Linked DNA regions of Oryctolagus cuniculus. The protein of the gene in region 1 interacts with the protein of each later gene in a pairwise test. Links are inferred from orthologs where the notes say so. Each region holds a gene or a part of one and is shown in the gene's direction. Other genes may lie near its edges. The genes, in order: NDEL1, MIS18A, CCDC88A, DIXDC1, CCSER2, TRAF3IP3 and CCSER1.

Evidence for each region.
Region 2: the proteins of NDEL1 (region 1) and MIS18A interact in binary tests that used the Homo sapiens proteins (3 or more experiments, as listed by UniProt). The link is inferred for Oryctolagus cuniculus from reciprocal best matches to the Homo sapiens genes NDEL1 and MIS18A.
Region 3: the proteins of NDEL1 (region 1) and CCDC88A interact in a two-hybrid assay, tested with the Homo sapiens proteins (2 studies listed by BioGRID and IntAct). The link is inferred for Oryctolagus cuniculus from reciprocal best matches to the Homo sapiens genes NDEL1 and CCDC88A.
Region 4: the proteins of NDEL1 (region 1) and DIXDC1 interact in binary tests that used the Homo sapiens proteins (3 or more experiments, as listed by UniProt). The link is inferred for Oryctolagus cuniculus from reciprocal best matches to the Homo sapiens genes NDEL1 and DIXDC1.
Region 5: the proteins of NDEL1 (region 1) and CCSER2 interact in binary tests that used the Homo sapiens proteins (3 or more experiments, as listed by UniProt). The link is inferred for Oryctolagus cuniculus from reciprocal best matches to the Homo sapiens genes NDEL1 and CCSER2.
Region 6: the proteins of NDEL1 (region 1) and TRAF3IP3 interact in binary tests that used the Homo sapiens proteins (3 or more experiments, as listed by UniProt). The two-hybrid records come from large-scale screens. The link is inferred for Oryctolagus cuniculus from reciprocal best matches to the Homo sapiens genes NDEL1 and TRAF3IP3.
Region 7: the proteins of NDEL1 (region 1) and CCSER1 interact in binary tests that used the Homo sapiens proteins (3 or more experiments, as listed by UniProt). The link is inferred for Oryctolagus cuniculus from reciprocal best matches to the Homo sapiens genes NDEL1 and CCSER1.

What each region holds. Positions count from the first base shown.
Region 1 is NC_091448.1:52,897,036-52,901,316, forward strand, and holds part of NDEL1 (nuclear distribution protein nudE-like 1), read left to right. Parts: intron 1-1,623; coding exon 1,624-1,760; intron 1,761-4,281. UniProt on the Homo sapiens protein: Required for organization of the cellular microtubule array and microtubule anchoring at the centrosome. May regulate microtubule organization at least in part by targeting the microtubule severing protein KATNA1 to the centrosome.
Region 2 is NC_091435.1:12,608,891-12,613,171, forward strand, and holds part of MIS18A (protein Mis18-alpha), read left to right. Parts: intron 1-1,253; coding exon 1,254-1,376; intron 1,377-4,281. UniProt on the Homo sapiens protein: Required for recruitment of CENPA to centromeres and normal chromosome segregation during mitosis.
Region 3 is NC_091433.1:147,168,588-147,173,467, forward strand, and holds the start of CCDC88A (girdin), read left to right. Parts: upstream 1-1,759; 5' UTR 1,760-2,634; coding exon 2,635-2,697; intron 2,698-2,793; coding exon 2,794-2,894; intron 2,895-4,880. UniProt on the Homo sapiens protein: Bifunctional modulator of guanine nucleotide-binding proteins (G proteins). Acts as a non-receptor guanine nucleotide exchange factor which binds to and activates guanine nucleotide-binding protein G(i) alpha subunits.
Region 4 is NC_091432.1:103,912,845-103,917,592, forward strand, and holds the start of DIXDC1 (dixin), read left to right. Parts: upstream 1-1,452; 5' UTR 1,453-1,576; coding exon 1,577-1,693; intron 1,694-1,885; coding exon 1,886-2,015; intron 2,016-4,748. UniProt on the Homo sapiens protein: Positive effector of the Wnt signaling pathway; activates WNT3A signaling via DVL2. Regulates JNK activation by AXIN1 and DVL2.
Region 5 is NC_091446.1:74,797,096-74,800,113, forward strand, and holds part of CCSER2 (serine-rich coiled-coil domain-containing protein 2), read left to right. Parts: coding exon 1-439; 3' UTR 440-3,018. UniProt on the Homo sapiens protein: Microtubule-binding protein which might play a role in microtubule bundling.
Region 6 is NC_091444.1:24,604,534-24,609,431, forward strand, and holds the start of TRAF3IP3 (TRAF3-interacting JNK-activating modulator), read left to right. Parts: upstream 1-1,859; 5' UTR 1,860-2,117; intron 2,118-4,898. UniProt on the Homo sapiens protein: Adapter protein that plays essential roles in both innate and adaptive immunity. Plays a crucial role in the regulation of thymocyte development.
Region 7 is NC_091439.1:75,222,628-75,226,908, reverse strand, and holds part of CCSER1 (serine-rich coiled-coil domain-containing protein 1), read left to right. Parts: coding exon 1-715; intron 716-4,281.

The sequences.
Region 1 (4,281 bases):
TGCCCTTGAGGGTGGTGCACATGGATGTTCAGCATGACAAATGCAGGGCACAGAGAGGGGAGCGGCCAGTGCCTCTGGGTGAGCTGGAGAAGCCTTTGCAGATACTAGAGCTATGTCTGCAAGGAGGAACAGGAGTTAATCAGGTGAAGAGGCAGGTGAAAGGCAGAGAAGCAGGAAAGAGCTTGAGGTATTGATGTTTCATTTTGCTTGCCACGTACCAGACAGTGACTGACCAGAGGATGGTTGGGGTCAGGTTGTGAAGAGTCTTTGGTCTGTGTTTGAAAGTCACTCTGTAGGCAAAGGGAAACTCTTTAAAATTTTTTTGAGCAAAGGAGTAATATCAGAGTTATGATTCAAGAAGGTAATACTGAGGCGTTGGAAGCACGGAGAAGTGCAGAACATTTGGGAGTAATCCATTTAGGGAGAAGAAGTAAGGCAGAGAGAAGGTTGAGGAGGAAATAGATTCCAGAGACATTTTGGCAATTGACAGGAATTGCAGAGTAGGTGTTGAATGAATGAGAAATGCAAGATGGAAAAAGAGCTGACAGGAAGTAAGTGAAGTGGAACCTGGGACTTACAATGTTAGAAACAAATTCTTAGCCGGCGCCGCGGCTCACTAGGCTAATCCTCCGCCTTGCGGCACCGGCACACCGGGTTCTAGTCCCGGGCGGGGCACCGGATTCTTTCCCGGTTGCCCCTCTTCCTGGCCAGCTCTCTGCTGTGGCCCAGGAGTGCAGTGGAGGATGGCCCAAGTTCTTGGGCCCTGCACCCCATGGGAGACCAGGAGAAGTACCTGGCTTCTGCCTTTGGATCAGCGCAGTGCGCTGGCTGCAGCGCGCCAGCCGTAGTGGCCATTGGAGGGTGAACCAACGGCAAAAGGAAGACCTTTCTCTCTGCCTCTCTCTCTCACTATCCACTCTGTCTGTCAAAAAAACAAACAAACAAAACAAAAACAAAACAAAACAAATTCTTACATGCTTCTTTATATTCAGAAGTTTTCTTCTGGGGCCAGTGCTGTGGCATAGTAAGGTAAGCCTCTGCCTGCAGCACTGACATCCCATATGGGTGCTGGTTTGAATCCTGGCTGCTCTACTTCTGATTCAGCTCTCTGCTATGGCCTGGGAAAGCAGTGGAAGATGACCCAAGTGCTTGGGCTCCTGCACCCAGGTGGGAGACCCAGAAGAAGCTCCTGGCTTTGGATTTGCCCAGCTCTGGCCGTTGTGGCCATTTGGGGGAGAGAACCAGCAGATGGAAGACACTTTCCTGTCTCTCTCCCTCTGTAACTCTGCCTCAAATAACTTAGTAAATCTTTAAAGAAAAAGTTTTCTTCCTCAAAATTCATAAATGAGACTGTATCATGTTTAAAATCCAGTGAAAATATAAATAGTGTAACAGTTGGCCTTTCTTTAAGGAATTTTAAGGAATTTACTGAATGGCCCGAATGGAAATAGAGACCCTGAATCCACAGAAGGTTGGGAGAAAGACCAGCTCATTCTCTTTGAACTTGGTGGAACAGACTAGGTGAAGAATGTCATGAGATAAACTGACAGTTTCCTTTTGTGTTAGCTGTTTGCACATGTTATTTATTTACTTACTTTATGGACTGTTAATTTTTTTTTCCAGGGCAACAATAGTTTCACTGGAAGACTTTGAACAAAGGCTAAATCAGGCCATAGAACGGAATGCATTTTTAGAAAGTGAACTTGATGAAAAGGAATCTTTGTTGGTCTCTGTACAGCGGTTAAAGGATGAAGCAAGAGGTAAATTTTATAGTTTAAAGAATATTTGTCGGGGCTGGCACTGTGGCGTAGTGGGTTAAGCTGCTACCTGCAGTGCTGGCATCTTACATGGGCGCCAGTTCGTGTCCCACTTGTTCCACTTCCGATCCAGCTCCCTGCTAATGTGCCTGGGAAGGCAGCAGAAGATGGCCCAAGTCCTTGGGCCCCTGTACCCACGTGGGAGACCTGGAAGAAGCTCCTTGTTTATGACTTTGGCCTGGTCCAGCCCTGGCTGGTGTGACCATTTGGGGCGTGAACCAGCAGATAGATGATCTCTTTATCTCTCCTTCTGTCTCTAACTCTGCCTTTCAAATAAATAGAATAAATATTAACAGTATTCTTTTTTTAATCTGACACTAGCCAGGGTAAGCTTAAGAACTGACTTCCTTTCTTTTTTAAAGGTTTATTTATTTATTTGAAAGGCAGAGTTGGAGAGAGAGGTCTTCCATCTACTAGTTCATTCTTAAAAGGGCCGCAACGCCTGGGGCTGCTGGATTAGGCTGAAGCCAGGAGCCTGAAACTCTGTCCAGATCTACCATGTGAGTGGCAGGAGCCCAGTTACTTGGGCCATCTTCTGCTGCTTTCCCAGATGCATTAGCAGAGAGCTGGATCAGAAGTGGAGCTGCTGGGACTTGAACTGGCACCCATATGGCAGTGGCTTAATCTGATGTGCCACAACGCCAGACCCTACTGACTCTTTAATGATTGTTTTTTTCATGACTTTTTCTTTTTCCCTGAGGGATTGGTGTATTCACTTGAAGAGTCTCTCATAATTTACATAGTGTGTAAACCATTCTGTATTTTATTACTGTGGTTAAAAAAAAAGAAGCCACATAATGTTAAATTTACCATCTTAACCATTTTTAAGTGTACAGTGCAGTGGTGTTAGATGTCACGTTGTTGTGGAACAGACCTCCAGAACTCTTGCACCTTGCTCTATACTCACTGAAGAACAGCTTCCTATTTCTTCCTCCCCCCAGCTGCTGGCAGCCACAGTTCTGCTTTCTGTTTCTCTGAGTTCCACTACTTTAGACACTTCTTTTTCTTTTTCTTTTTTTTTAAGATTTTTTTATTTGAGAGGCAGAGTTACACAGAGACACAAAGAGATCTTCCATCTACTGGTTCACTCCCCAAATGGCTGCATCTGCTGGGGCTAGGCCAGGCCAAAGCCAGGAGCTAGGAGCTTCATCCAGGTCTCCCACGTGGGTACAGGGGACCAAGGACTTGGGCCATCCTCTGCTGCTTTCCCAGGTGCATTAACAGGGAGCTGGGTTAGAGGTTTGGCATCTGGGATTCAAACCAGCGTCCATATGAGATGCTGACGTTGTAGGCGGTGACTTAACCTGCTGTACCACAGCATTGGCCCCTGTATCCATTTTCTTTATGCATTCATCTATGAATGAATATTTGGTGTAGGTGCATTTCTTGGCTTATGTGAATTATGCTGCTATGAACACAAGTTTGCAAGTGTCTTCTTGAGATCCTGTTTTGAATTCATTTGGACCTTGGAAGTTGGATAATCTGTATCCTTTTCTGATACAAGGAAATATTCTATACATTAGTTGCCTAACTGGAAAATTTAATTTTGGGTTGAAAATTCAATATTTGAAAGCAAGGAAATTAATTTTAAAGTGATATTATTACTTTATTTAAATAAAGATTTTTATTTATTTATTTGAGAGGCAGAGTTAGAGGGAAAGACTGGTTCACTCTCCAGATGGCCTCAATGGCCAGAGCTGGACCAATCCAAAGCCAGGAGCCAAGAGCTTCTTATGGGTCTCCCATGTGGGTGCAGGGGCCTAAGCAGGTAGGCCATCTTCCACTGCTTTCCCAGGCCATAGCAGAGAGCTGGATCAGAAGAGGAGCAGCCAGGACACAAACTGGCGCCCATATGGGATGTGCTACAGGCAGAGGCTTAGCCTACCATGCCAAAGCGCTGGCCCTTAACTACTACTTTTTTAAAACAAAATGTTTCATAGTGATAATAAAAAATACCAACTCATATAAAATTATAGAAATGCATTTCATTGATTTCACAGTAATCTCCAAACTACAATATTTTAAAGTGAAAGCAAATGAGTTGATGAAGTATTTATTTTTTGGGGGCTGGCATTTGGCATTATGACAGTGCTTGGGATGCAGACTTCCCACACTAGAGTGCCTGGGTTCAAGTCCTGGCTCTGCTTCTAATTCCAGCTTCCTGTTAATGCATACCCTATTAAGCATTAGGTTATGGCTTTAGAAGTTGGGTTCTTGCCCCCTACAGTGGAGACCTGGATTGAATTTTAAGTTCTTGGCTTTGACCTGGCACAGGGCACTTGGGGAGTAGTGAACTCATGGATGAGAGATCTGTCTTATTGGTTCACAATGAATTCTCCTTTGAACTCTGCCCTATTTCTTCTTGCTTGTGGGTGTAGGTAACTGCTGTCTGAGGTTATAGCGTTTCTAAATTCTTAGGCAGTACAGTTGTCATTTTTATTCTCCTTGAAATGTAAGTTTATTT
Region 2 (4,281 bases), on another chromosome or scaffold:
GTTGCAAGCCAGGCTGAGGAGAGTCCAGGATGAAGGAACAAGTAAGTGGAGAGGCGGCGGGTCATGAAGTACGTGTGAGTGACCTGTGTGGGGCGTGCCTGGGGTTGCTGGGAGAGTGCTGGTGGTGAGTAGATCCTTTAACAGGCAGCTCTAACACACAGATCACAGGCACACATCCGAGACTTTTTAAAAACCCCTTAACGAGGGAGCTGGAAGCTGGTTCAGGGTCGGCAGATCGAGTTATGGCCCCTCAGCCTTTGGGGCTTGCTTTGCTACTCACAGGGATGGTTTGTGTCCCTGCCAGACTAAACTCACTTACGGTGCATTGGTGGGCTTTCTTCAGGCTGTCATTTAACTTTAGAGGCTTTTTCTAAACTGGGCTGTGTTAGCTTTCTGCCAATGCGGGGGCAGGCAGAGGCCCTGGGCTGGATGCCTCTCTGTGAACCCAGGTGATTGAGTTCTGCAGTGTCTGTAAGCTGTTTTCGTGCCGTGACGGCAGAGGCCAGTAGTAAGGATTAGTTATTCTCTGCGTCATTACACAGGAGTTGCCTCTCCCTGCCGTTGTTGGGCTCCTTGGACAATGGCATTAAAAGGACGCATAGAATCTTTTTGTCTTATTTCCCAATTTTCTTTATAATCAAAGAGTTTACATTCTTTATTTTTCTTAAGATTTATTTATTGAAAGATAGCATTACGGAAAGAGGGAGAGAGAGCTTCCATACGCTGGTTCACTCCCCAATGGCCACAGCAGCCACGGCTAATTCAGGCTGAAGCCAGGACCTGGAACTCCATCCGGGTCTCCCATGTGAGTAGCAGGAGCCCAAGCATTTGGACCATTTTCTGCCACTTTCACAAGCATGTTAGCAGGGAGCTGGATTGGAAGTGGAGCAGCTGGGACTTGAACCTGCCTCATATGGGATGCTGACATCTCAAGCGACAGCTTAACCTGCTGGGGCACAGCCCTGGCCGCAGAGTTTGCGCCGTAACACATGCACTTGATGGTCTCCTCCTCTTGTTGCCGTGTGCATGTTCCTGCCGTCAGATGTGGATGGCAGTGTGGCTGTCCTTGCATTTCTATTATAAATGTCTTACTCTCATCTTTTTCCTTCCTTATATGAATACATGTAACTAAACATGGTCAGAATGACAAACCCTGGAAACCTGAGTGTTGAAGCGTTTGTGGGTGCCAGCAGTGGGTGTTCTGTAGCAAGTTGCTGCTTTGCTTCCTAAAGCGGTGCTATGTCTTTACGCAGCGTCCTCGAGACCCTGTACTGCGTCGGCTGCTCCCTCAACCTCGGCTACATATACAGATGCACCCCCAAGAGCCTTGATTACAAGAGGGACTTGTTTTGCCTCAGTGTTGAAGCCATTGAAAGGTAAGTTTGATATTTAAGTGACCGCTGGGTAACTGACCTCTCAGAAAGTTAAGTTTGCAGAGAAATTGCTATGAAGACGTCAGAGCTAAACCACGCTTAAACGACATTTCCAGGTAGTACTTTCTGACATTAAAGCCAGTTAATTTCTCTCTCTGTCTCTCTGTTTTTCTCTTTGCTTTGCTCTAATTTTTTGATATTGGAAAAATCAGCACTCCTAAATTGTGGCTTTTTTTTGGAGTAAAAATATGTTCTTTTTTGTTTGTTTGTTTTTTGACAGAGTGGACAGTGAGAGAGAGACAGAGAGAAAGGTCTTCCTTTGCCGTTGGTTCACCCTCCAATGGCCGCCGCGGCCGGCGCACCGCGCTGATCCGATGGCAGGAGCCAGGTGCTTCTCCTGGTCTCCCATGGGGTGCAGGGCCCAAGTACTTGGGCCATCCTCCACTGCACTCCCTGGCCACAGCAGAGAGCTGGCCTGGAAGAGGAGCAACCGGGACAGAATCCGGCGCCCCGACCGGGACTAGAACCCGGTTTTGTGCCGGCGCTGCAAGGCGGAGGATTAGCCTAGTGAGCCGCGGCGCTGGCCTGTGTTCATTTGTTTTTAAAAATGGAATGAACTTGAGAAGGATTCTTTTTAAGTATTTTCTGGGGCTATGTCTCAGTGGTTAAGTTGCTGCTTGGGATGTCCCCAACCCATAGGACAGGGCCTGCTTTAATTCTGATGCAGCTTCTTGCTGATGTAAACCCGGGAGGCAGTAGATGCTGGCTCAGGTACTTGGGTGGGTCCCTATTACCCATGTGGGAGACACAGACTGACTTCCAAGCTCCTGGCTTCGGCCTGGGCCAGCCCTGTGTGTTGCAGGCATTTGGGGAGTGAACAGTGGATGGAAGGTTCCTGTCTTTCTCTGCCTTTCAAATAAAATGAGAGTAATTTTTCTAAAAAGCGATATTGTGTTACAGAAGAAAATACGTGGGAGGTTTTACTGCAGGAGATCATGGTTGTCAAGGCTGTTTTTCCTGAACAGTTGATTTTAGGAGACAGGCTACTTCTTGGGCAGAATTTTTTTTAAAAAAATAAGTTTGTGTGTGTGTGTATTTTTTAGATTTATTTATTTGAAAGGCAAAGCCACAGAGAGAAGCAAAGCTACAGAGGGAGAGAGTGAGGAGAGAGAGATATTCCATCTGCTGGTTCTCTGCCCGAATGGCTGCAAGGGCCAGGGCAGGACAAGGCCAAAGCCAGGAGCCAGGAGCCCCATCTGGGTCTCCCACATGGATGCAGGAGCCTAAGGACTTGGCCATCTTCTGCTGCTTTTCCAGGTGCATTAGAGAGAGCTGGATCGCAAGTGGAACGTTAGGGACTAGCACCAGCACCCAAGTGGGATGCTGGATTTGTAGGTGGTAGCTTAACCGGTTATGCCACAGCACTGGCCCCTTGGGGTGGAATTGTAATGCCAGGGCTGCCCTCTGTGCCATTTATTTACAGTTTTATCAGTTGCTCGGTGCCATGTCATTTTCCCACCGCATCTTTGGTTTTCTAAGTAGGATGTCGGTTGCCTTCTGCAGTTTGCCTACCACGCTATTTTCCTCTGCCTTGCCAGGCATATTGGCAGAAAGCTGGAGCAGAGACAGAGCTGCGGGGACTCCCGCCAGCACTCCGCTGTGGGATGCCGGGAGCTGGCGCCACAGCCCTGGCCCCTCGAGTTTTCTTTGAGAGATGCTGGCATCTCCGTCCTTACTGTTTAGATGTAGCTGGTTGCCAGCCCAGAGCTGGTTTCCCTCCATTGCCAGCTGATTCTTCTGCTACTTCCTACTTTCCTAAACCATCGCATCTTGTAACAATGAGAGGCAAACACAGTGTAAGTTGGAGAATAACTGTTACAGTTGCTGACATTTGGTTAATCAAGTATTGACCACCACAATTTATTACTTAAAGTCTCATTTAGGAGCAGGTGTTTATCCTACTGGTTAAGGCAGCTGTGTTCCACATTGAAGTCCCTGGGTTTATTTTATTTTATTATTATATTTTACTTTAAGATTTATTTTATTTATTTGAAAGTCAGAGAGAGAGAGAGAGAGAGGTAGAGCCAGAGCCAGAGAGAGAGAGAGGTCTTCCATCTACTGGTTTCCTCCCCAAATGACCACAGTGGAGCTGAGCTGATCAGGATCCAGGAGCCTCCTCAGGGTCTCCCATGTGGGTGCAGGGACTTGGGCCATCTTCTACTGCATTCCCAGGCCATAGCAAAGAGCTGGATTGGAAGTAGAGCAGCCAGGACTCGAACTGGTGCCCATATGGGATGCCGGCACTGCTGGCCAGGGCTTTCACCGCTGTGCCACAGCGCCGGCCCCAAAGTCCCTGGGTTTAATTCTGAGCTCCTGATTCCAGCTTCTGGCTAACGCACACCCTGGGAGGCAGCACATAGTTGGCCCAAGTAGTTGGGTCCATGCCACCCACGTGAGAGAACTGGATCGAGTTTCCAGCTCTGGCCATTGCGGGCACTGGGGAGTGAGACAACAGACGGGAGGTCGTGCTCTTGCTCTCTCCCCTGCCCCTCTTAAGTAAAAAATTGGAAAAAAGGTCAAATTGGAAGTGGCACATGTTTCTGACGTTAGATAAAGCAAGACAGGGGAGGCTTCTTCCGGGTCCTTAGGTGGCTGAGCTATGAGTGATGATGCTTTGCCACCCAGTTTGCCTAGAGCAGGTTTGTGCCAGTAATGAGATACTTGTAATGCTGGAGAATTGGGATGTAGAGCTGTGCAGACAAAGCCGCTGTGGAGGAAGGCATGAGGTACGTAGTAGAGCTTCCTGCGTGGTCCCTCTTCACAAGAATAGCTCTCTTTGCTGACTTGGTGTTGATCTACTGTGGAATGTACTTAGAGTGCTCATGTTATTAACTGCCATTCATTTAGT
Region 3 (4,880 bases), on another chromosome or scaffold:
CTTCAGTCACCATCACCATCTGCACTTTCTGTTAGTACTTTCTGGGTTTTCATCTGTGAATGAGGTAGGTGGCTCTGTCTTGGGAAAAACTCCTGCATAGGCATGGAAACTTCCATGTCGTTTTGTCAAGCTTCTGGAGGATTACAAAGAAAAGTGGACATGTCAGACACTGGGTACTAAAAGCAATGCTTCCTTCTTGTTGCATTCCACTCACCATAGAAAGAACTGTGATTAAGAGAGAGTCATCAAGAACAAAAGGAAAACATTGTGAGCCACCAGGATGACACCAGCCTTGTGTATTGGCCAGGGCCGTGCGAAGTTCTACTCTGTTACCACCTAAAAAAAGTCACATGAAAACATCCTAATTGTAATTAAGATCATTTGATAAGGACATGTGTTTCTGTTTCCCAAAAGCAAGATCCTTTCTCATGTAACTGAAGTAGGAGAGCTTTCATTTGAAGTTTCCTCCCAAAGATTCTTAATTTTAGGGGGAATAATGATGAAGACAACATCAACAACACTTATAAAATATTTCTATAAGCTGCCATTTCATTGAACTGCTTTACATATAAAGAAAGTGAAGCACAGAGCAGCTTAGTAACTTGCCTAGTCTCACAGAGCTAGTGAGCATTGGAACCATGCAGGAGAACTCCAAGCCCAGGCTCTCAACTACCTAATTAACAAACTGTGCTGTTTCTTAATTCAGTGCTATGACAAAAACATTCTCACTGCTAATTTAAAATAGTATGCAAGTATTCAAAGTAGATGTTTATGTAAGTGCAAACATAGCATACATTGTCAAACTATAACGCTATGCTTTCTCAAAAAATGTGTTTTACATGCCCATTTTAATCTCAAGAAAAAGATCTTCATTTCTCTTTGAAATGAGGAGTAACATTTGATTTTGCTAGGGAACTGTTAAAATTATTTTGATGGTTCCAGCCGTGCATAGCATAGAGATTTATAGTAAATATGTAATCTGTTTATTTGTCGCCCAAGTTGGATGACTTCCAAATGTTTCCTCTTTATAGCTCTTGATTTGTTTGGATTTTTTTCAATGGCCAAATCGTCACACACACACACACACACAAAAATGTCTAAATCACGTTTGCTCTTGTCAGGGAATAGCAACATGCTGAAAGATAGATTTGGTTGTTTAAAAATCCTACCACATTTCACTTGCATTCCATGCTTTAGAGGGCTGGATGTTAAAAAAAAAAAAAAAAAAGGAAAAGGAGAAGAAAAAAAGAACTAACTTGTGGCTCGCGTCCCTTTGCCCTTCGCTGAAGTCAGTTTTCCCATTCCATTCTGTTGGGGAGCAAGCATGCTGAAGAGATCAAACCAAACTGTCCGAAAAAGGCTGTCTGCATCCCTCATGTTTAAAAGAGAAGAATTTCGTTCCCCTTCCTTCACACATCAAAGAAGGCACTCGGGGAGGAAATAAACCATAATTAGGCACGAGTGAGCGAGCAGACAGACCCTTTCCTTTGCCTTCGCCATCCCCGCCCCCCGCCCCTGGCAACCATCCTGGGCGCTAGCAAGGCGCCGGCCACCGCAGCAGCTGCAGCGAGCGCGGCCCCGCGCCCGCGCCCGTCTCAGAATCTGGGCGGCGGCGGGGCCAACCCGGGAACGCGCTCGCCCGGGAGCGCGCTCATGCAGCGGTTTTCTTCTCCCACAATCCAGAGGCAGCGGCGCGGGAGGGGCGGGGAGTCGGCGGAAGGATATCGGCGCGGAGGGAGCGGCGCGTCCCCTTGACGGCGGCCTCGCTGCGCTGGTTGGGCAGCGAGTAGTGGGGTGTGACGCGGCACTGCGGTTCTGAGGCCGTTACTCCGGCTCCTCCAGAGAGGGCGGAGGAGGAGGTTGGAGCTCGGCGGTGATTTTGTGCCAGGGCTTCCCAGAGGCGCTCCGAAGAGGCTGGCGGGGCTCAGGCAGCCGGAGGTTTAGAGACGCACATTCAAGCCCCCATCCCCCGGGAGGGGAAGGGGGCTGGAGGCGAGGCGTGAGGGCGGCGGAGGAATGGTGTCTGCTCGGGGGGAAGGGGCGAGCCCTGCCTGTCGGTGGTGAGGGGCTGCAGACCGGGGAGGCTTCGCGGGTCGAAGCGGCTCCATGCCCACCGGTGGGTGGAACGTGTAGAGGGGAAACGCGGAGGTCGAGCCTGGCGGCCCCTTGGATCCCCTAAGGTGGTGTCTAACGTGGTGTTTGATAAAGCCCACGTTGGGATTAATTCATTGGGGGCAGTTCCGCTCGCTTGGCTGCTCTAGGAGCCGGGCAACCTTGACGGGCTTTTTGTCTTGCTGCTGCAGCCCTCTTTCCCCTTCCTCCTCCTCCAGATGCCTTTTCTCTGCCCCTCCTTGCCCGGTACCGACATTTCCAGCGCAGGCTGCTGCTCGTGGGGGCTGTCGAAGCCGCTTCTCGGGATTTCGGCTCGTTTCCCTCTGGGGTGTCTTTGGAGGAGGGAGCGTTTCCCCCCCTCCTCGATGGGGTTTTCCTCGCTTGCCAAAATGGACTTTCATTGATTTCTACTTCAACGTTTCGTGACCAATTCCCTAGGCGTATTTTTGTGGTAGTTCCTTTTTTTTTTTTTTTTTTTTTTTTTTTTTTTTTTTTTTTTTTTTTAAGTAGAGGATCTGTAAAATGGAGAACGAAATTTTTACTCCCCTTTTGGAGCAGTTCATGACCAGCCCCTTGGTCACTTGGGTAAGTGGAGTGCCCTTTATTGTAGATTTTGCTGGGTTATTTGTGGCTGCAGAGATGGAGGTGGGCGTTCATGCCCTGACGATCCTTCTGTTCTAGGTTAAAACGTTCGGACCTCTGGCTGCGGGCAGTGGGACCAACCTGGATGAATATGTGGCTTTGGTGGATGGGGTATTCCTGAACCAGGTCATGCTCCAAATGTAAGTCTTTTCTGGGTAACTTGTTTTCTTTGAGAAATAACGTACTGTGAACTTGAGACTTGATGTTTTCGCCCCTAATGTGGTTCTTGGGTTAGAAAAATGCAGGTGGTTCAAAAAATTGGATGTTGAAAGGAGTGAAAATCTTCCGTGCCCAACCCATTTATCGCAAGCCAGCAATTATGCCTGTTAAAATTGTGAAACTTTGCATTTTTCGTTTTGCCAACCTTGTGTTGTCACTTATTGTCTTCAGTGCTGAAAACCAAACCACACGGTGTCCTCTTTGATAATCTGGTAAGAAGAGAGAGAGGGCAAGAATGCAAATCTAGTGTCCTAATAGGGGGGAAAGGACTTTAATGTGAAGCTATGTGCATTTGATGCATATCTAAAAATAGTTATTTTTATACTCAGTTTTTGAAGCTAGTGAAGTAATAACATCTTAGAATTTCATACACAGTTCTGAGTGGTGAAGAGGACTGCTGCTGCAGCATGTAACTTAAATGTCTATAATAATTCAGGTCTGATTAGATGATTTATTGTGTGGACTTTGTGTCATATTTGAAAGATCATTTTAAGGTGTTCTTAGTTTTGAAATGTACATCATTGAAGGCTTGATGAGGACTAGACAACCAGTGATTTAGTAGTCACTTCTTTGTCTTTTATATTTATAATATTAGATCTATATTAAATGTTTTTGTTTGTTTCTGCAATGGAAATTGGATATTGAAAGTATATTGGTAGCTGGATTAGGGCAGTAAAAACAGCTGCATTTTTATTATTAGAGGTACTATAGCATACATGCATTCTAGGTCCTTCAGTGTAGGTTATCACACTGTGAATATCATTACAGTTGTGCTGTAAGTAATTAGCCTTATTCTTGAATAGAATCTGATTATAGGAGTAGTTTGGAACCTGTGATTGAAAGATGTTCTCATCTTTTATATATGTGGGAAATTAGTGCCTTATAAATCCATAGTTGCTAACAAGTAGAGAACAAGTCTATTCTGCTTTGAGAACTTTACATATAAATTAGCTATTCTGTATTTTACTGGAAGTTATTTTTCAAGTTAGTTTTCTGTTTAAAAGAGGTTAGATGTTAATTTCACAAATAATTGTTCCAGTTAGAGTTTGTATGCTCAGAGATTTATATGTTGATCCCACAGGGAGACATACTACTACCATACACTTTCCAAAAATGTTATATTTGTTTAGGTGCCTGAAGAAATGTATATGTTATCAAAATTTGTATTTTTTTCCTTAAGAAAGGAAGAGTGTAGACATTAATTATTTATAGGGTTAATAAATGTATTTTTGGCAGCTATCCCATGAAATTATTTTTTATTTTTGAAATATCCCACTATTTCCTAAGCGAAATGGTAGAAAAATTAAACTAACTTCTATTTTAGGAAACACACATGACAGGAAGAGTAGCCATTATGGTAGAGAGTCACCTTTTCCCCTATGTCTGTCTGTTTCAGAAAATTTTGAATTTGTGTGCATAACCCCTCCCCTTAAAAAGTATCTTTACAAAAATAGTAAAATTAGTTTTCTACTTTAGTGGATTTTTAAAATAATACTTTTTCCAAAAAAAGAGAAAGATTTGGGGCTTTTTAAGTCTTAAGTAGCTAGCCAAGGTGCTAAAAACAAACATGTTGGCTTATTTCCATTGTGTATAGGTATGTTTTGAAAATGATGGTGTTCCAAAATAGTGGTTGCCAGGGAGTTGTTTTTTTGGGAGGACTAGCTCCTTTCCAAACCTCAAATCTGCCACTGTGTTTTCAGTTCCACCTCTCAGTTTCTTTAAAAGTGTTTTCAGCGTCCTAATTCTGTTTGAATGACCCGTATAAATTAAAGAAAAAGAAAATTAAGAAAAAGAGAAGTATGCTTTTGCTTTTTTTCAAGAAAAATCTGCTAAAATAACATCGCAAATTTATCTTAATGAATTATTTAACTTTCAGGACAACAAAATATACATTGTTTTAAAAGTTA
Region 4 (4,748 bases), on another chromosome or scaffold:
GGTTGAGGGTGATACTAGATACAGGAAAGTTGATTAGGAGTTTGACTTAAGCCACGTAATTAGATCCCAGCTGTTATATTTAGTGCCTTTTCTGGTTTTAACTCGTCTTCCTCAGACCAGAGTGGTTCACTCCAGAAGTGCCTATTGCCTCATTTGCCTCAGGTGGGGCTTTGGCTTGCAATAGTAGCAGACCTTGGAGTATTATTTTTCCCAGCTGCCCAGATCAGGCAGAAGGTATAGCCACTCTTGTTTACAGAGTGAAGTGAATAGCAAGAGGCCTTTGGTAAGTGCTCTGTTTACTGGATGTTAATACCAGGACTGCTATGTCCTAGCTATGCGGACATTGGGAAAAGTTATATAGCCTCTGTGAATCTCATCCATAAAATGAATCTTTGGTGCTTCTTGGATAATTGAATTAGATTATTGATGATGAAAACAATAATGACCATTTAGTAAACATTAATATTAATTACAACAAATTGGCACAGAGAGAAATTATTTATTATTGAAGATTTCATTTAAGTTCAGGAAGCAGTTAGTGAGTGGTTTTGACCATTGTTTCATTAAGGAAGTACTTGGGACTTAGAAATCATTTATACTATAACCAAATTATAATTTAATGCAATTAGCTCTTGAACTTGATTTTTATATTTAGACTCTTGAGCTACTACAGAAAACGGAGCTGTTGCCTGGACTGTGACATTGCTCATGTGCTTTTTTGATATTAATGCCCATCTGCTGGCCAAATACGCAAGAGGAAACTTTTGAGTACAAGTTGGAATACAAAATGGAATATGTAGGGGCTGACACTGTAGCATAGCAGGTTAAGGTTCCATCTGCATCACCAGCATTCCATTTGAGAGCTCTACTTCCAATCCAGCTCCTTAATGATGTGCCTGAGAAAGTAGCGGAAGATGGCCCAAGTCCTTAGGCCTCTGCCACCCACATGGGAGACCTGGAAGAAGCTCCTGGTTCCTGACTTTGTCCTGGCCTGGCCCTAGCTGTGGCAGCCATTTGGGGAGTGAACCATGGGATGGAAGATCTCTCTCTCTCTTTCTCTCTGTAACTCTGCCTTTCAAATAAATTTTTTTAAAAATCTAAAAAAAAAAAAAAAAAAAGAATATGTGAGATTGTCCGAGGCTTAGAAAGAATTACATGCCTTTTCCTAGATGCCTGACCAGTTTCTAATCATATGAGGGCCTAACTTTGTCTGAAAGTAAATAAAAGGTCTTGCCGTCTTCAGTAACACTGCTCAATAGAACTTTTCTTTGTCCTTCTCTGTTTAGGTTTTAAGTAACCAGATCCTCTTCGACAATATGAAACACAGATTAAAACTAACTCTAACAATCCTAGGATTATGGGCTCAGGAGAATAAATCTTGGGTTGACTGCGAGACGAGTTCATTTAAGTCTTATTTTGAAGAAAGCAGCTATGGAACAGGCAGCCCTGAGCTTGGCTTATTTTTCATTCTTGGCTCCCCAAGATCAATTCCTCACAATCCTTTGTGTATATGATACATGCGTGGTTGTTCTTGAGAACCACGGTGGGTCACTGGCAGCAGTAGTTAGAACTGGCCATGGCTTTTGACCCAGTCCTCATCCCTGGTCAACAACAGAATTTGAAGGAAGCAGGAATCACAGTGATTGAAACACTTACGTGTTTATCTATGTCTGCAGTGCCACCCAAGTCACAGGTTAGCATATCTTTGGAGATTAACTTCAAACTAGAGAATTCCAGAACATGCTGGGTATCTGACCATGACACCATCTTTCTCTCCTGGGTATAGACTGCCCACCATAGCTCACTCTCAAATGCTGCTTTAGAGAGTACAGGGGAGGGGCATTAATGTGCAACGCCTGCCTGATTGGCACCTTTTGTGTTCCAGCAACAGCTGCAGGCGTATGTGGCCTGGGTAAATGCCCAGCTGAGGAAGAGGCCCACAGTGAAGCCTGTGCAGGACCTGCGGCAGGATCTCCGGGATGGGGTGATCCTGGCATACCTCATCGAGATTGTTGGTGAGTTGGCTCTGGATGCTGAGGCTACAGCATGGCCTTCTTTACCCTTCGTGTGCCCCTCAAAGCCCCTCTAGAATGTTTGGCCATGGACAGAGTGAAGACTTAAAATACTTGGCCAGACACTGTGTGCCAGGCACTGCCTTATGCTCTGGGAGTTTGATGATGAGCAGTCTGTGCTCTCAGAAGTCTCCCCGTTTCGTTAGAAAGACTGGAAAGTGAAGTCACTTCCATTAATGGACTTAGGACTCCGGTGGGGCAAGCACAGAGGAAAACGCAGCCAGTCTTAAGGGCTCAGGGGTAACCTAGCAGAAGAATTGATGTCTCAACTGAGGCCTGCCAGAGAAGCTGATAGCTGAGCCAAGGCCAGAAAAGGAAGCAGCAGCCAGATAAAAGGGGGGTGTGTTCTCCGGAAAAGGCCCCAGTGCAATACTCGCTGTCATAATGCTGCAGAGAAAGGTTTGCCTCTGGAAGCCCTGGAGTTGTTGCCAGTTTGGTATCATCTATTAAGCATTTGCCCACAGCTCTGTTATTATTTCTGTCATGAAACAGTAATCATTTGTGGCAATCACTTGTTTACCTATCTGTCTCCTGTAGAAACTGAACAGGTATAGAATAATGTTCCTCTGTTTCTCCAACCCCTAAGCAAATGCACGTAATTGATTCTCAAACCTTTATTGTTATATCAAGCAGCTCACCTTGCTTAGAACCCTGAGAGACATGGAGCCTGCACGTGGGGTGGAAGACACCTGATTGCAGCAGGCATCCTATCCACGAACACTTCCTTGGGACAGCTCATGAACTCATCAGAGGATTCATTTTAATGAAAATAACGGGACTCATAGTCACAGTAGCTGCCAGGATTTGGAATTCTGTCTTGCTTAATTTCATTTCATTTAATCATCACCCCCTTGGGAAACAGATACTATTATTCCCCCTTTCAGAAACAAGCTTACAAGAGAAGATTTATAAAAATAAATACATTCAGGGGCCAGCGCTGTGGTGTAGCGGGTAAAGCCACCGGCTGCTGTGCCGGCATCCCATATGGGTGCTGGTTGGAGTCCCGCCTGCTCCACTTCCAATCCATCTCCCTGCTAATGCACCTGGGAAAGCAGTGGAAGATGACCCAAGTCCTTGGGCCCTTCCACCCATTTGGCAGATCTGGAAGAAGCTCCTGGATCCTGGCTTCGGATCAGCCCAGCTCCAGCCGTTGCAGCCATTTGGGGAATAAACCGGCAGATGGAAGATCTCTCTTTCTCTCTCTGCCCTTGCCTCTCTGTAACCTTGTCTTTCAAGCAAATAAATAGATCTTTAAAAAAATACATTCATAGAGTACTTAATATGTGTCAAAGTAGCTGAGCAAGGTACTTTGAATTATTTGTGATATGGCTGTGAGGAGTTGAGAACCCCCCTCTGAAATGCTTTGGCCCAGAAGTGTTAACAGATTTTGGATTTTTTGGATTTTAGAATATTTGCATAGACTAAATCTGAAATGCTCCAAAATCTGAATTATTTTGAGCATATCATGTCGTTGCTCAGAATGTTTAAGGTTTGGAGCATTTCAGAGTTTGGATTTTGAGATTAAGGATGCTTAGCCTATACGACTACTCTTTTGCTCATTTTATGTAGTTTAGAGAGGCTAAGCACCTTTACAAGGTCACCTTACTATAAGTGCCTAAGTAAAGGTACCAGCTTAGATTTGCTTTAATTCCAAAGCCCATTTTAAAATTTAGGTTTTCATTGATTTGAATAGGCTGTTCATAAATTATTAGGAAATCCAGATAGTACAAAAGAATATAGAATCAAAAGCCTTTTTTCTACCTATATCTCCCTCCTAGCTGCCCATTCTTCTTTTTGGTGACAGCAGTGTTAGCAGTTTGTTACATTTCTTTCCAGAGATAATCTGTGCATACAGAGGCAATATGAATATGTCATTTTTTGTTGGTTTGTTTGCTTTTTCTTTTTCTTTTTTAAAAATATTTTATTTATTTATTTGAGAGGTAAAGTTCAGACAGTGAGAGGGAGAGACAGAGAGAAAGGTCTTCCTGACATTGGTTCACTCCCCAACTGGCCGCAACGGCTGGAGCTGCGCCAATCCAAAGCCAGGAGCCAGGAGCTTCTTCCTGGGCTCCCACGTGGGTGCAGGAGCCCAAGGACTTGGGCCATCTTCTACTGCTTTCCCAGGCCATAGCTGAGAGCTGGATTGGAAGAGGAGCAGCTGGGGATAGAACTGGTGCCTATATGGGATGTTGGCGCCACAGGCGGAGGATTAACCTACTGTGCCACAGCGCTAGCCCCATGAATATATCATCTTATTTTCCCAAAACCCAGCTTCTCAAATACTGCTTTCCATTGTTTTTGCTGTATAGAAAAGCCTCCCAAGATTGTGTCTGTACTCGTGAAATTTATTTCCTTATTTTGTATTCGTTCTGTAACCCTCCCTCATTAGGCTTTTGATCCCACAACTCCACTGGGACTGCTTCCCTTGGGATCCTGACTTGCACCTTGTCAAATCCAGGGGCCAGCCCTCAGTCCTTGTTTTGCCTGACTTAGCAGGGCCTGGTAGAGTAGATCATTACCACCTCTTTCAAAGACTCTTCGCTTGGCTTCCAGGATGCTCTAGATCTCTGGCTTTCCTCCCTCCTCACTGGCTGCCCTCCTCACTTGCTTTGCTGTCTTTTTCTCCTTGACCTGTAAATTGTTGGAGTGATAGAGGTCCTGTCCTTCATGTATTCT
Region 5 (3,018 bases), on another chromosome or scaffold:
GAGAGTTGGACAAGATCAGTCTCCACCAGTGGGCTACCCTTCTCAGCCCAAGTCTTTGCAGCTTTTAAAGCCATCCATTCTGAATTCTTTGGCACCTCCTCCAGATTCGGAATCATCTGCAAATCGGACTCCTCCCACTTGTAAGAAGTCACTGATAATCGCACCATGTCATTCAGCAAAACTTCAGCCAACATCTAGTCCAACAAATCTTGCAAGTAATCTGAAAGTGTCTAAGCTCCGCCCCCCTTCTTGCTCTTTCAAACAGAAACAAGTAAGCACCCCCCGAATAGAGCCTCAAAATGTCCAGGCCAAGACCAGCATCCCAAGGCCACTCACACGACAAAAAGAAATCATGCAGAATCCGAATGGCAACTTGCATCCTGGGGATTGTTTGGCATCCAATCGTTATTCTCGTCTTCCTAAACCAAAGATACATTAAGTACATAGCCATCACCTGCCACTTTGTGTTTTGAAACACAGTCTTCTGTAATAGCTTTACGTACAGTTTACTACCACGGTGGAGGTTCCATTGAAAGCCTGCAAATCTTACAATTAAAATGTGGAAGTTTCTACTAGTTGGGCTCTTCCACTTTATAGCCTGGGCTGAAGTCTGTACCAATTGAGCATCTTGTCTCAGGTAAACACAAGTTTGCTTACCCATCCCAGAGGTCCACCAAAGGCTGTCACCATGTATCCACTTGCTGTACATCAGAAAACTCACAATAGCCACTTAGCAGATGAGTCCTGTTAAGTCCGTATTCCTTGTGGTTGTCCAAACCTCACCCCTTCCCACTTGTCTCTCCTGTGAACATGGCTACTATTGGAACTAAAGACGTGGTGATCATGGATGATGGTCGTCTGTAAGCAGAGTTCTGGCCAGTGTTTTGTATATTTTAAAGGTCTATGCAAAAGCTTTGTGATGAATAAAGGAGATCAGGCTTTTAATGGGAAGTCTATGTAAGTCTTATTTTTCCCTACTAGGATCATCAAACTAGTTTACTGTTTCTTCATTTACCTAAATCCCCAGACTGAAAATGTCTCGTATTATTTATAAACCAATCATGTGTTGCTTTGATATCATGTTTTTCTCACACACAGGAATTCTTCGCCACAGCCCCTTTGTGTGTGTTCACATTGCTACTGTAGGGTAAATTTTGGAGAGTGAGCTACGTCTTGAAATTGTAACATATGTTAGTGCAGGAGTTTCAGTGTTGAACTCCATAAGCTTATGGATTCATATAGCTTTTTAAAGGTTCCACAGCATGTATCATGAATTAAGTCTTTATTATAATATTTATATTTATTGACTTTCTGCCAATATCTGAAGACTGGAATAATGGACTTGAAATATTTGCACAAAACTTGGATGGGGTGTAAATATCCCATACATAGGGATTTAAAACTTATTTTCTATAGCAAAACAAGTGAAAATATTTTAAGAAAAATTATAAATTTAAAAATTATGCATTTGAGAAAGCTAGAATTCATAATGGTTTAGTTCTTCTGGGTTTCCTAGGTTTCCCATTTTGGTTGGTGTACGTTTGAATGAGAATTTCTTGAAGAGTAGATTTGGGAAGGAGAACAGAATTTGAGATAGGAATTGTATTTTATTCAAAGGTATTTCAAAGGCACTATGCTTATTTATTCCATTGTGCCGCAGAAGGCAGCTGTGGGACCTCCAGGCAACCATGTGCACGAACTTAACCATCCTGCAGGCCGCTTGTCAGACAGTGCAGTGAACGTGTCTTCCTGTCCTTCACATCACGCCACATTTAGGCTGTACCTCTGCAGCTGCTTCAATCAGCATGAATAGTTTTTAGACAGATCACCGTACATGACCAATTTTTTTGCTCAGTGGACCAAAAATGTACTGGAAAGAATGAAGCCAAGAAAGTGACTCATTCAAATTTCTAGGGATTCCTTTACGATGTGTGTCTTTAAGATGGTGGACTTGGCTGTCCCTTTGTGAGAGAGGAACAGCAGCAAGTGCTTGAGTGGGAATTTCAAAGGAAGTGTGTGCTGCCATTGGACGCAGTCTTCCCTTACCTGTCAGAGCACCAGTCATCCAGCGACTGTGCTGTTCGGTAGATAGAAATCATTGTTAGATTTGGTAAAAAGTGCTCAGCGCCGCAGTAGGCTCTCCGCCTTGTGCAGCAGCGCTTCCACAGGAGAGGCCCTGCAGTGCAGCGGGTCCCTCACATAGTGCAGATGAGTCCTCCCTCGGACGTAGCAGCAAATACTTCCTTGTCCACAGAGGGGGCCACAATGGCTGCAGCTAAGAGTGGGCACGTGGGTGGTCTTCCATTTCAATGGAGAAAGAAAGCTGACCCCATATTGCATATAGGATACTATCATTCTTGATTTCCCCAAAGTAAAACAGTCTAATGAATTAGTAGATTTTTGGTTGATTTAGAAGTTGATACAGACTCTTAAGGAGTTTAAATTTCAAATTTGTTTTTAACTCCCTAGGCTGAGGGAAATGTCTTTATTGTCCATTACATAACCATCTGTTGACTCCAGTCATTGATTTATTCTGATGTCTTTCCTGCTCTTTTTTCCTCCCTGAAGAACTTACAGACATGTTAAGCCTGTCAGTTTAACTTCTCTGTACCTTTGTTGAGCCTTAATCTTAGCAGAAGATAGGCTCATCAATATAATTATGAAGCATAATGTATCTAAGAGAAAAATATCTAAATTGCTTGCACACAACATGAAGTATTGGCCTGCAGTTTCCTTTAAAAAACTGCGAGTATCCTGCTGATCTGCTCCTTAGTCAGTGTTAAGTGAGAGGTGGAAGCGAGGCCATGGCTCTGCTGAGGAGTCGGAGCTCACCGCAGATCTGCGTCTGCAGATCAGCGCTGCGCCAAATGCGTCTCCACAGGAACTTGGATCGCTTATTGTCTTAGCTTTGTGATCATGGTGAAGATGTTGACATGAGGGTTTTCAGTCTGGAGGGGGACGTTTTCTGGGGTTGGTTGAGTTTCCTGTTTGTGGAAGAGAAAGTTTAGTGATGTAGGC
Region 6 (4,898 bases), on another chromosome or scaffold:
TAGCAGAAGATGGCCCAAGTGTTTGGGCCCCTGCACCCATGTGGGAGACCCAGATGAAGCTCCTGGATCTTGGCTTTGGCCTGGTCTAGCCCCAGTCATTGTGGCCATTTGGGGAGTGAACCAGCAGACAGAAGATCTCACCCTCTCTCTCTCTCTCTCCTTCTGTCTGTCTCTCTTTATCTCTGCCTTTCAAGTAAATAAATAAATCTTAAAAAAAAAGGAACCAGCACCCGTAACAGCATTGTGGAGTCAGGGGTTAAGCCACCGCCTGCAAGGCCCACTCCATGTAAGTACCGGTTGGAGGGTTGGAGTCCCAGATTCTCTGCTTCCAATCCAGCTCCCTGCTAATGTGCCTGGGAAAGCAGCAGATCATGGCTCAAGTACTGGGGACCTTGCTCTCCACATAGGACACCCAAATGGAGTTCCAGGCTCCTGGCTTTGGCCTGTCTCAACCCTGGCCATTGCAGCCATCAGTGAAGTTAACCAGTGTATTAAAAGGTCAGTCTCTCTCTCTCTCTCACCCCTCTCTCACTCTTTCAAATAAATGAAATAAAATGAAAAAAATATATGGCATCCCATACCCTGAGTTCAAGTTCCAGCTCCATTCCTGATTCCACCTTCCTGTAAATGTGCACCCTGGGAGGCAGCAGGTGATGGCTCAAGTGGTTGAGTCCCTGCCATTCCTGTGGAGACCTGGATTGATTTCCTGGCTCCTGGCATCAGTCTGATGTTGTGGGTATCTGTGGAGTCACCCTGCCAAAGGGATCTCTCTAATAAACAAGAATCAAATGAATTTTTAAATTTAATTATATAATGTACTGAGGTTTCCCTTTTGATCAACTTGGTCAATTTTTTAAATGAAGTTCTCTTATTCTGCCATCTTGGGCCCCCCACCCTGCTCTGTCCTCTGCTCATTTCTGGCTCCACATGTCCAGCTCTAGACACGGCCTAGAACTATTGTTTCCCGTCTTGAGGGAACATCCTTTGTCTTCAGTTGGAATGCCTTGCCCAGCCTACTCCTTGTCCTTTTTCTGCTCAGAAAACAGGCAGCCACAGCAGCAAAGAAGACCGTGATGCACTCCCCGCGTGTTAATAAAAATCATCCAGTCGCAGCTATTCCACATCTCCTCGCCCACCTCACTCGTGTCACCCCCTGGAACTCACAGGGGCCACAGGATTCCTGCAGCCACCATCCTGAGCAGCTCATTCCAATCAGGTGAACTACACAGGGTTACAGAGCTGCTCAGGCCACTGTCCCAATCCAGGTCTCTCTCCACTATTTTATCCCGAACTTCTTGGTAATTTCCCGACTAGACTGCCTATGAGGGTTTCTTTATAATGCAGGCAGATTAGTTCCCTTTAGTTTTTCCCCCAATTTTCCTAGTCCAAGTGACTGAGACCAAAAAAAATATTTTCTACAAGATTCTGCCTGCTGTTCCTCGCTTCATCTCCCAGCCACCCACCTTCTCACCTCCTCCTTGCTGCTTCGGGAATGACTGAAGCCAGGGCTGACCTCAGCCTAGAGTTCTGAAGCAGACCCCGTTTTCTCCTGAAACTCTCCAGAGCTCCGGGACTTGTGGAGAACTACCCGATGCCCAGGACAGCCCACACTGAGAACAGCTCTTCTAGGTCGCACTACCAAAAACGGATTTTTTTTTTTTTTTGCCCTCACAGGAACTGCACGGTTTGAATCCAATCACAGGCCCATCCTTGTCTAATCCTGGAAATGGATCTTGTCTTGAAACTGTCAAGAAGAGTTCAGGCCAATCCAATAGCAAGACAAAGGGCGCCTGGGGTGCCCACTGATGGGAGGAGCTCCCAAGCTCAGCCCCGGAGGCCCCAGGGTTCAGGGGCCCACTCAGATCGCGCCAGAAAGCAAGAGAGAGGAACTGGGGTTTGTGAGCATTGTGGGTTTGTCTGTTTCCTGTTTCATCAAGGCTGCTGTGCAAAGAGAAAGAGAGTAGCAAGAAGGGAAATGCTAATGGGGCGCAGAGCCGGGGACTGAGAGCCTGCCCCTTACCCAGCTGCTATTCTGCTCCATCTGAGACCACAGCCGAGGTGTCCCCAGAAGCTGGAATGCTTTCCTGAGCACTTGGGTTGGAGCCTGGAACTCGGAGGTAACTGAGGATGAGGATGCTTTGGGACCACTGACGCTGGGGTGGTGCAGAAGATGCTCCGTCACCCAAGCCTCCCTGGATGAAGAGGGAGGCCCAGGAGTGGGTGATGTAGGTCAAGGGTGTCGGGGGGTTGAGTAACCAAGAAAGTGTCCTGAGCTGGTTTCCTGAGGCACTAGCCACAGAACAGAGATACAACTCCCATCACCCCTGTGCTCCATCCTCTTAATTGGATGAGTCAAATGCCTGGGAGTTCTCGGGCTACTCACTGATGGGGGCATGAATGAGATGACCTTTCAAGGTGGGAAACACACAGCAGCCTTTCCAGCTGGCACTGAGAGCTCTGGACCAGGAAGGCCAGGCCCATACAGGAAGTCACTCACCATCGCTTCGCACACACAGCCAAGCTGTCACAGCAGCGACTCGTAAAGGCAGTGACAAGGCTACTGTTGGGTGAGGGACAGTGCCCTGGTCCTTTCCTGTGTTAGGGAGTGAGGAAGGCCTCCCCCAGCCAACACTACCTCTTCCCCCAAGCTCCAACTGAGCCCTATTGTGTTGCCAAGGGGTACCCCAGAGATGCCCCCTGACCACTCTTTGAACCTTACAAAGACAGTTCCTTTTTTTTTTCTATTGCCTATTTATGTCAATGAGCCATCCCACAGGGTTTCTTATTTTTAAGCAACTCAGTGTGTCAAACCACCCCCAAGAAAGCTTGGTATGGTTCCACTCAGCTGTGCCACACCAAATCCTACTGGGTGTGTAGGCCTGGGATCTGGGAATGCCCCCCTTTCTAAGGAGCCACCTCTACTGCAACTCTGCTCTTGGGCCATAAATCCTAACATCCACCTGTGAGGATGCCAGGGAGCAGAGCTGCTTTCTCTCAGTGGTCCAGCGGACTGATGTAGATGGCCCAGGTGGAGAGCCCAGAGAGATCTCATCTCTCTGGCTGCTACCCCCAGCCCCCTCCACAGCAGGAGGGTAGCAGGATTCTCTGCAGCCAGGGCTCTGCCTCCCTACAAAGCCTGTGTAACTAGGGGCAAACAGGAAGGCGACCTCACATCCCACACTCCATGGTCTGCTGCTGGGCAGCCACTCTTCCCCTCCATCTCTTCCTGTCCTTTCTGCTTGGCCTAACTGAGATAGTTGTTGTGTCAGGACCACAGAGACGTCTTTTCTCATCGTTGCCCAAACCCAGAGGTCAGATGGACCATAGCAGTGAAAATTATTTCAGTCTGGGGCCAGCACCTCCTCAACCTGGTAAACAATGTACTCCTCCAGAGAGAAAAGGCTGGGGGAATCAGAGGATGGGATCTGTCATTATTGGTCCTGGGAGTGCTCATTTAGCCGGGGGCCTTGGTCTCCAGTATCCAACACAGCAAGACAAGGATAGTCCTAACAATATTGAATGTGTATTAATAAAAAAAGGTAACATTTATTATGTGCCAAGTGCCAGGGGCCTACTGTGCACTTTGTCATTTAATCTCAGAACCCTACAAGCCCCATTTTATAAACAAGGAGACTGGGATGCAGAAAGATTGGACAGCTGACCCAAAATCACACACAGGTAATGGTGACACGGTCAGGACTTAAGTCCACAGTCTGACTCCAGGCCAGGGCTCTCCTCCACCTTGTAGGGCAGAGCAAGCCTACATGTGTGGGTTCTGGACCCAGAGTTCCCATGCACAGACCCCCAAGTCTCCTCTATCCAGTCACTTAAAAGTTTACATGGCTGGGACTTGAGGCCCTTTTCTGTTTTCAGATGAGGAAAGCAGCAGGTGGTCCAGGGACAACCCCTCCCCACCACCACCACCACTCCTGGCCCCAAGGACTAAGAATGAAAAGTGTGAGGAAAGGATAAAGCCATTCAGAAATGGTACAGAGAGGACTGATGTCTTCATATGGCTCCATGGGGTCAGTGCTGCCTGAGGCCAGAGGGCACTGCTCCAACCCTTAGGAGTAAGGCATCAAGGAGTGTCCAGGCTTGCCCACATTAAGACCCCTCTCAGAGAGTGAGACTGCCCTGCCTGTGACCCTAAGAAATGAGTGGTGAATCAGAAAGAGCAAGAATCCTTCAGAGAATTCTAGACTAAGCAAGGATAGGCAGCAGAATCCCAATAAAAGGGCAGGGAGGCTGCTACCTGTGCAGTCTGCTTGGCCTATAAGCAAACCCATATGGCCAGAGCTGGCTAATGCCTGCTGGTTGGTGGAGCTAAGATACCACCTCTCTGACCTACCCAGGAACTGAAGTTCCCGGGGTGGGGGTGGGGTGGTAATGAGGTCATGAGCTGGAGAAAGGAGACAGCAGCTGTGAGGGGGAGTCCCTCTTCCTTCATCAGTCCCAGGTCTGACCCCAGTGGTCAGAGGCTCGGCGCAGGATTTCCAAAACTCAGGATCCAGCTCAAGTGCAACCCCACTCAGCAAAGCTCCCAGAGCATCCTAGGAGAATAAGCGAATTCACAGCAGGTAGGTGCGGAGAGCAGGAAAGAACAAAAGAGGCCAGGAAAGAAGAAGGGATTGGGTTCAGGTGCATTGGAAATGGCAGGGAAGACAACATGCAAGGTGTCAAGTACAGCCTCTACACCATAAACCTGGTTCCCTGGGGACTTTGGGTTCCTGATTCTGTTTGTTTACAGGACAGACTCTTTGAGGTGTGATTCATGTGTGTGCTGGTTTGGATGGCACAGTCCATGTCTGGACTAAGGAAAGCAGACTTGGAAGCAGAGTTAACCCTCACCGGGAGGTGATTCTAGAAATATGCAACCCTCAGCTTCCCAAGCGAGAGAG
Region 7 (4,281 bases), on another chromosome or scaffold:
GTTCAGCAGCCTGAATTCTCTTTGGAGATTACGGAGTTCCAAGAGAGAGAACCTGTGTTAGGAAGAGCGTCTCCATCTTGTTCTTTGGATGTCACAGAACAGGCAGGAAGCTCTTTACAGTCTCCTTTGCTTTCTGCTGATCTCACCACAGCTCAGACACCTTCAGAATTTTTGGCCTTGACTGAAGATTCCGTGTCTGAAGCGGACGTATTTCCTAAAAGTGGAAGCCTGGCATCCCACTGTGACAACTCTGACCACAATGAGTCTACCTCTCAGTTCTCTCCCAATCCCGCTGCTGTTACAAAGACAGCAGTAGAACTCACGGGAACAGTTCCCTGTGCGAGTTTGTCTCCTGGGAAATACAGGTTAGAGGGTCGGTGTGGCATTGAATCTCAGTCGTTACCTGAAACCTCTGCTGCTAGTCAGAAAGAAGTGTTATTGCAGGTCACTGAATTGCGCGGTAGGAATGTGAGCAACTCAGAGACTCGTCTACCCGCAGATACGCTTAGAGAGGACAATATGGTGTTACACAATGGGGAGGCAATGCTGGGCACAAGCTCCCCAAGGAAACGGGGCTTCTATGAGCAACATAAAGCAATAGCTGAACGTGTTAAAGGGATCCATCCTATTTCCGATTCAAAGATAATACCCTCCTCTGGTGATCATCATATTTTTAACAAAACGTCATATGGATATGAAGCAAATACTGCCAAAGGTATGCTGATTTTCTTTGTAAAATAAGTTTTATGAAATGATTTTCATTGTAATGTATTCTATTGTCATCCTCCATCTCATGAATAGCAAGCACACTTGCCTTGTTTTTCACCACCTAGATTCATTCGTATTTAGAATTTAGTTTAAACTTTTATGCAACTTGGTTTTGAACTTGCCTCAATTGTGTTATGCTGAAATTATAATTCAGTAACATTGTTTAGTTTGCTTGTTGTGTTACTGGGACTCTGACTCTGAGAAGAAAGTAGAAGGAAACTACTTCTATTTGCAGTGTGGGTTTATCTAAAATAAGAACTACCATTTTTAGAGTTCATTATGAAAGTATCTGTATTTCTTAATGAAATGGATATATTGCAGCCAAAATCACCATAAAAATAATTTGTATAATTTAAGTTCTATTTCCTGTGTTAACAGTGGTTTCATTACTGACCAAGATCTGTGCATCAGCATAAACAGTTCCTTTCTATTGATACAAAGAATTTCAAGATTTAAAAATCCTGTCCTTTGGAGCCTAAAGGCCCTGCCTGCTTCTAGTAGCCCTGCCACTGAAATGAACTAGATGTATAGATGTATAATCCAGGACATCAAACCTTGTTGTGTAAAAAAAAAAAAAAAAAAAAAAAAAGTGTGTGCACCAATCATTCCAGTCTGGCTCAAGAAAATTCTGTTATTTAACATAAAATTCAGTTCAAGCAAACTTTTGAATGTATATTATCTCCTGGGCTTTATTAGATATTATTTTTAATTCTTTGATACCATTACTGCTAGCAATTGTTGTTATGTTACTGCTGCTATAACTACTACTACTACTACTAATGGTAATTATCCTAATACTGAAAATGATCACTGTATCCCAAATACTTTTCTTGTACTTTGCACACATTAATTTAAAAAATGACTGAAATTAGGACTGGTATTGTGGCATAGCAATGCCAGCATCCCATATGAGAGCTGATTTGAGACCTGGCTGCTCCACTTCAGATGCAGCTCCCTTTTAATGGCCTGAAAAAACAGTGGACGATGGCCCAAGTATTTGGGTACCTGAGAGACTTGGAAGAAACTCCAGGCCTTTGGCTTCAGCATAGCACAACACTGGCTGTTGTGGCCATTGAGGGAGTGAATCAGCAGATTGAAGATTCTCTCTCTCTCTTTCTCTATAACTCTGCCTTTTGAATAAATAAAAAATATTTTTTTTTAAAATGACTGAAGTTGGGGCCAGCACTGTGGCATAGCAGTGTTAAGCTGCTGCCTAGATTCGACTGCTCTACATTGGATCAAGCTCCCTGATTATGTGTCTGGGTTAGTAGTGAAGATGGCTCAAGTGCTGGGTCCCTGAATCCATGTGAGAGACCCAGAAGCTCCTGGCTTTGGCCAGTTTGGCTGTTATGGCCAGATGGGGAATGAACCAGCAGATTGAAGACCTCTTTTTCTTTAACTTTTCTTTAAAATAAAATAAACCTTTTTTTTTTTTTAAGAGTGAAATCACTACTATTATTATAAGCTATTTTGCAGGCAAGAAAATTGGAGCACAGATAAGTTACATGTTCTAAGTCACAAAGTGAATTAGTAATTGACTAGCATACTAATTCCATGAGGTAGGGTAGAATGTTTCCTTTATTCACAAGTGTGATCTAAGCCCACAGTTTCATCCAGCTGGCAAGTAGCATAGCTTAATTGTAACTATGGGAATCCAAAGCTCAGGTTCTTAACCATTATGCTGTATTATATATTCTTACCTTAACTAGTAAATAGAATTCAAAATAAGTTAAGTGGAAGAATATCAAGAATCATAGAATTATGTGATTTATATAAGTAGTCCATCTATGCTGATGGCCGTTTTCAAGTTTTAAATGCAAGAATTCATTTCCCAGATGTCTTAAAATATTTTGTGTATTGATACACAATCACTGTTATGCACCTTGTTACTTTTTTCTTTTTTTTTAACTTGATTGCCATGTCCATACTCTTGATTTGTTATATCTACAAATAACTAAAATATAATAATGAGAATGATAATGATGATGATGGTTGTGGTTACCTTTTTAAAGTGTACACTAAATGTAACTAATGTGCTAAGAAATTTGCATGCTCTATTTCATTTTAATCCTCACAAAATTTTTATGTGGTAGTTTATGACAGTTTATTATTAAGTTAAGTAACTTTAAAAGGTCATATTTTTAGCAAATGAAGGACCTCAGAGTGGACTTCTTTTTTATAGACACGACACACAGGAAAGGTAGAAATGCTGTTTTCCTGATAAATCTAATCTTATTTAACAATGGCAACTTTTCTCAATGTCTAATTGAATACTATGTATTTTTATCTCTATGGAAAGTAGGGAATTACCAATTATCCTGGTGAAAATTTATCTACTGTTGTGATTCTAACTGTAAGCCATTGAACACATTAAAGTAGTTTCACTGACTTGACAGTGCGTTGCCTGTTTTTGGTGATATCAACAAGGAAAAGATGATAGTATACTGTCCTTTGTTCTGTGGGAATATTTATGTGCTACTTTTGCAAATTTTACAGTTTGGAAGTTTAAAATTTTAAAACCAATTAAGTAATTGTATTTTATGCAAGAAAGAGTGGCTGTACACACTAATTTGTAATTCAAAATTTATTTTATATTATAAAGCATTGAAGCTAGTACTTAATGCATATCTGAATGTATTAGATACACACTAATATCACAATTAATAATAGAAATAACTTTCATTTTTTTGCTTAAAACACTGTTTTAAGACCTCTGCTATGTTTTGGAACAATAAATTTCAACCCAAAGCCTTTAAGCTGGTAGATGAACTTAAATAGAGCAGTTCAGTCATTTATTCTGTAAGTGTTTGTTGTTTTAGCACTGTTGTTAGCAGAAAGGATACAAAGCAGACATCATCCCTAACATCATGAAGCTTGCTTTCTACTGGTCACAGATACTCCGACAGTAAACATACAAATAAATACACGTGAGATGATGATAACTGATGAGGTCAAGTGTGAGGCAGAATGAAGTGTTAGGAAGAGAGAAGGGAAGGTGGCTGTTTGCATTTTTAAATTTGATGAGCTGGCTGCTACTCAAGGTAACATGTTAGCCATGAGTTGAAGGACCTCAGGGAGTAAGTGATACAGATGTTTCAAAGAAGTGTTTTGGTATAGGTGAGTCGAAGGCTGTGGGGCTGGAGCATGCCAGATATGCTCCAGGAACAGCACGAGATCCAGTGTGGCATTAGCAAGATACAGGAAGGGGAGGGCAGCAGAAGGTGGGGTTGCAATAGTGAACAGGTGAACAGGGCAGCCCTCGGAGCAGGGGTGAGAGCTGAATCACAAGAGGAGCTCATTTGAAAACATCAGATTTATGTCCTGAGGTGTGAACTTCATCCATCTCACCGTGCTGTAAGTATATTATTGTGGTTACCGGGCAGAAACTAGGTTTTGTGGTGGGGAAGGAGGTGGTGAGGTAGGTGGGAGTAGGCAGAGGTGAAAGAATCTTAGGAAGTATTGTGAGAACCCTGGCAAGCGAGGCTGGGTTTGACCCAGGCTCTTAGTTGTGGA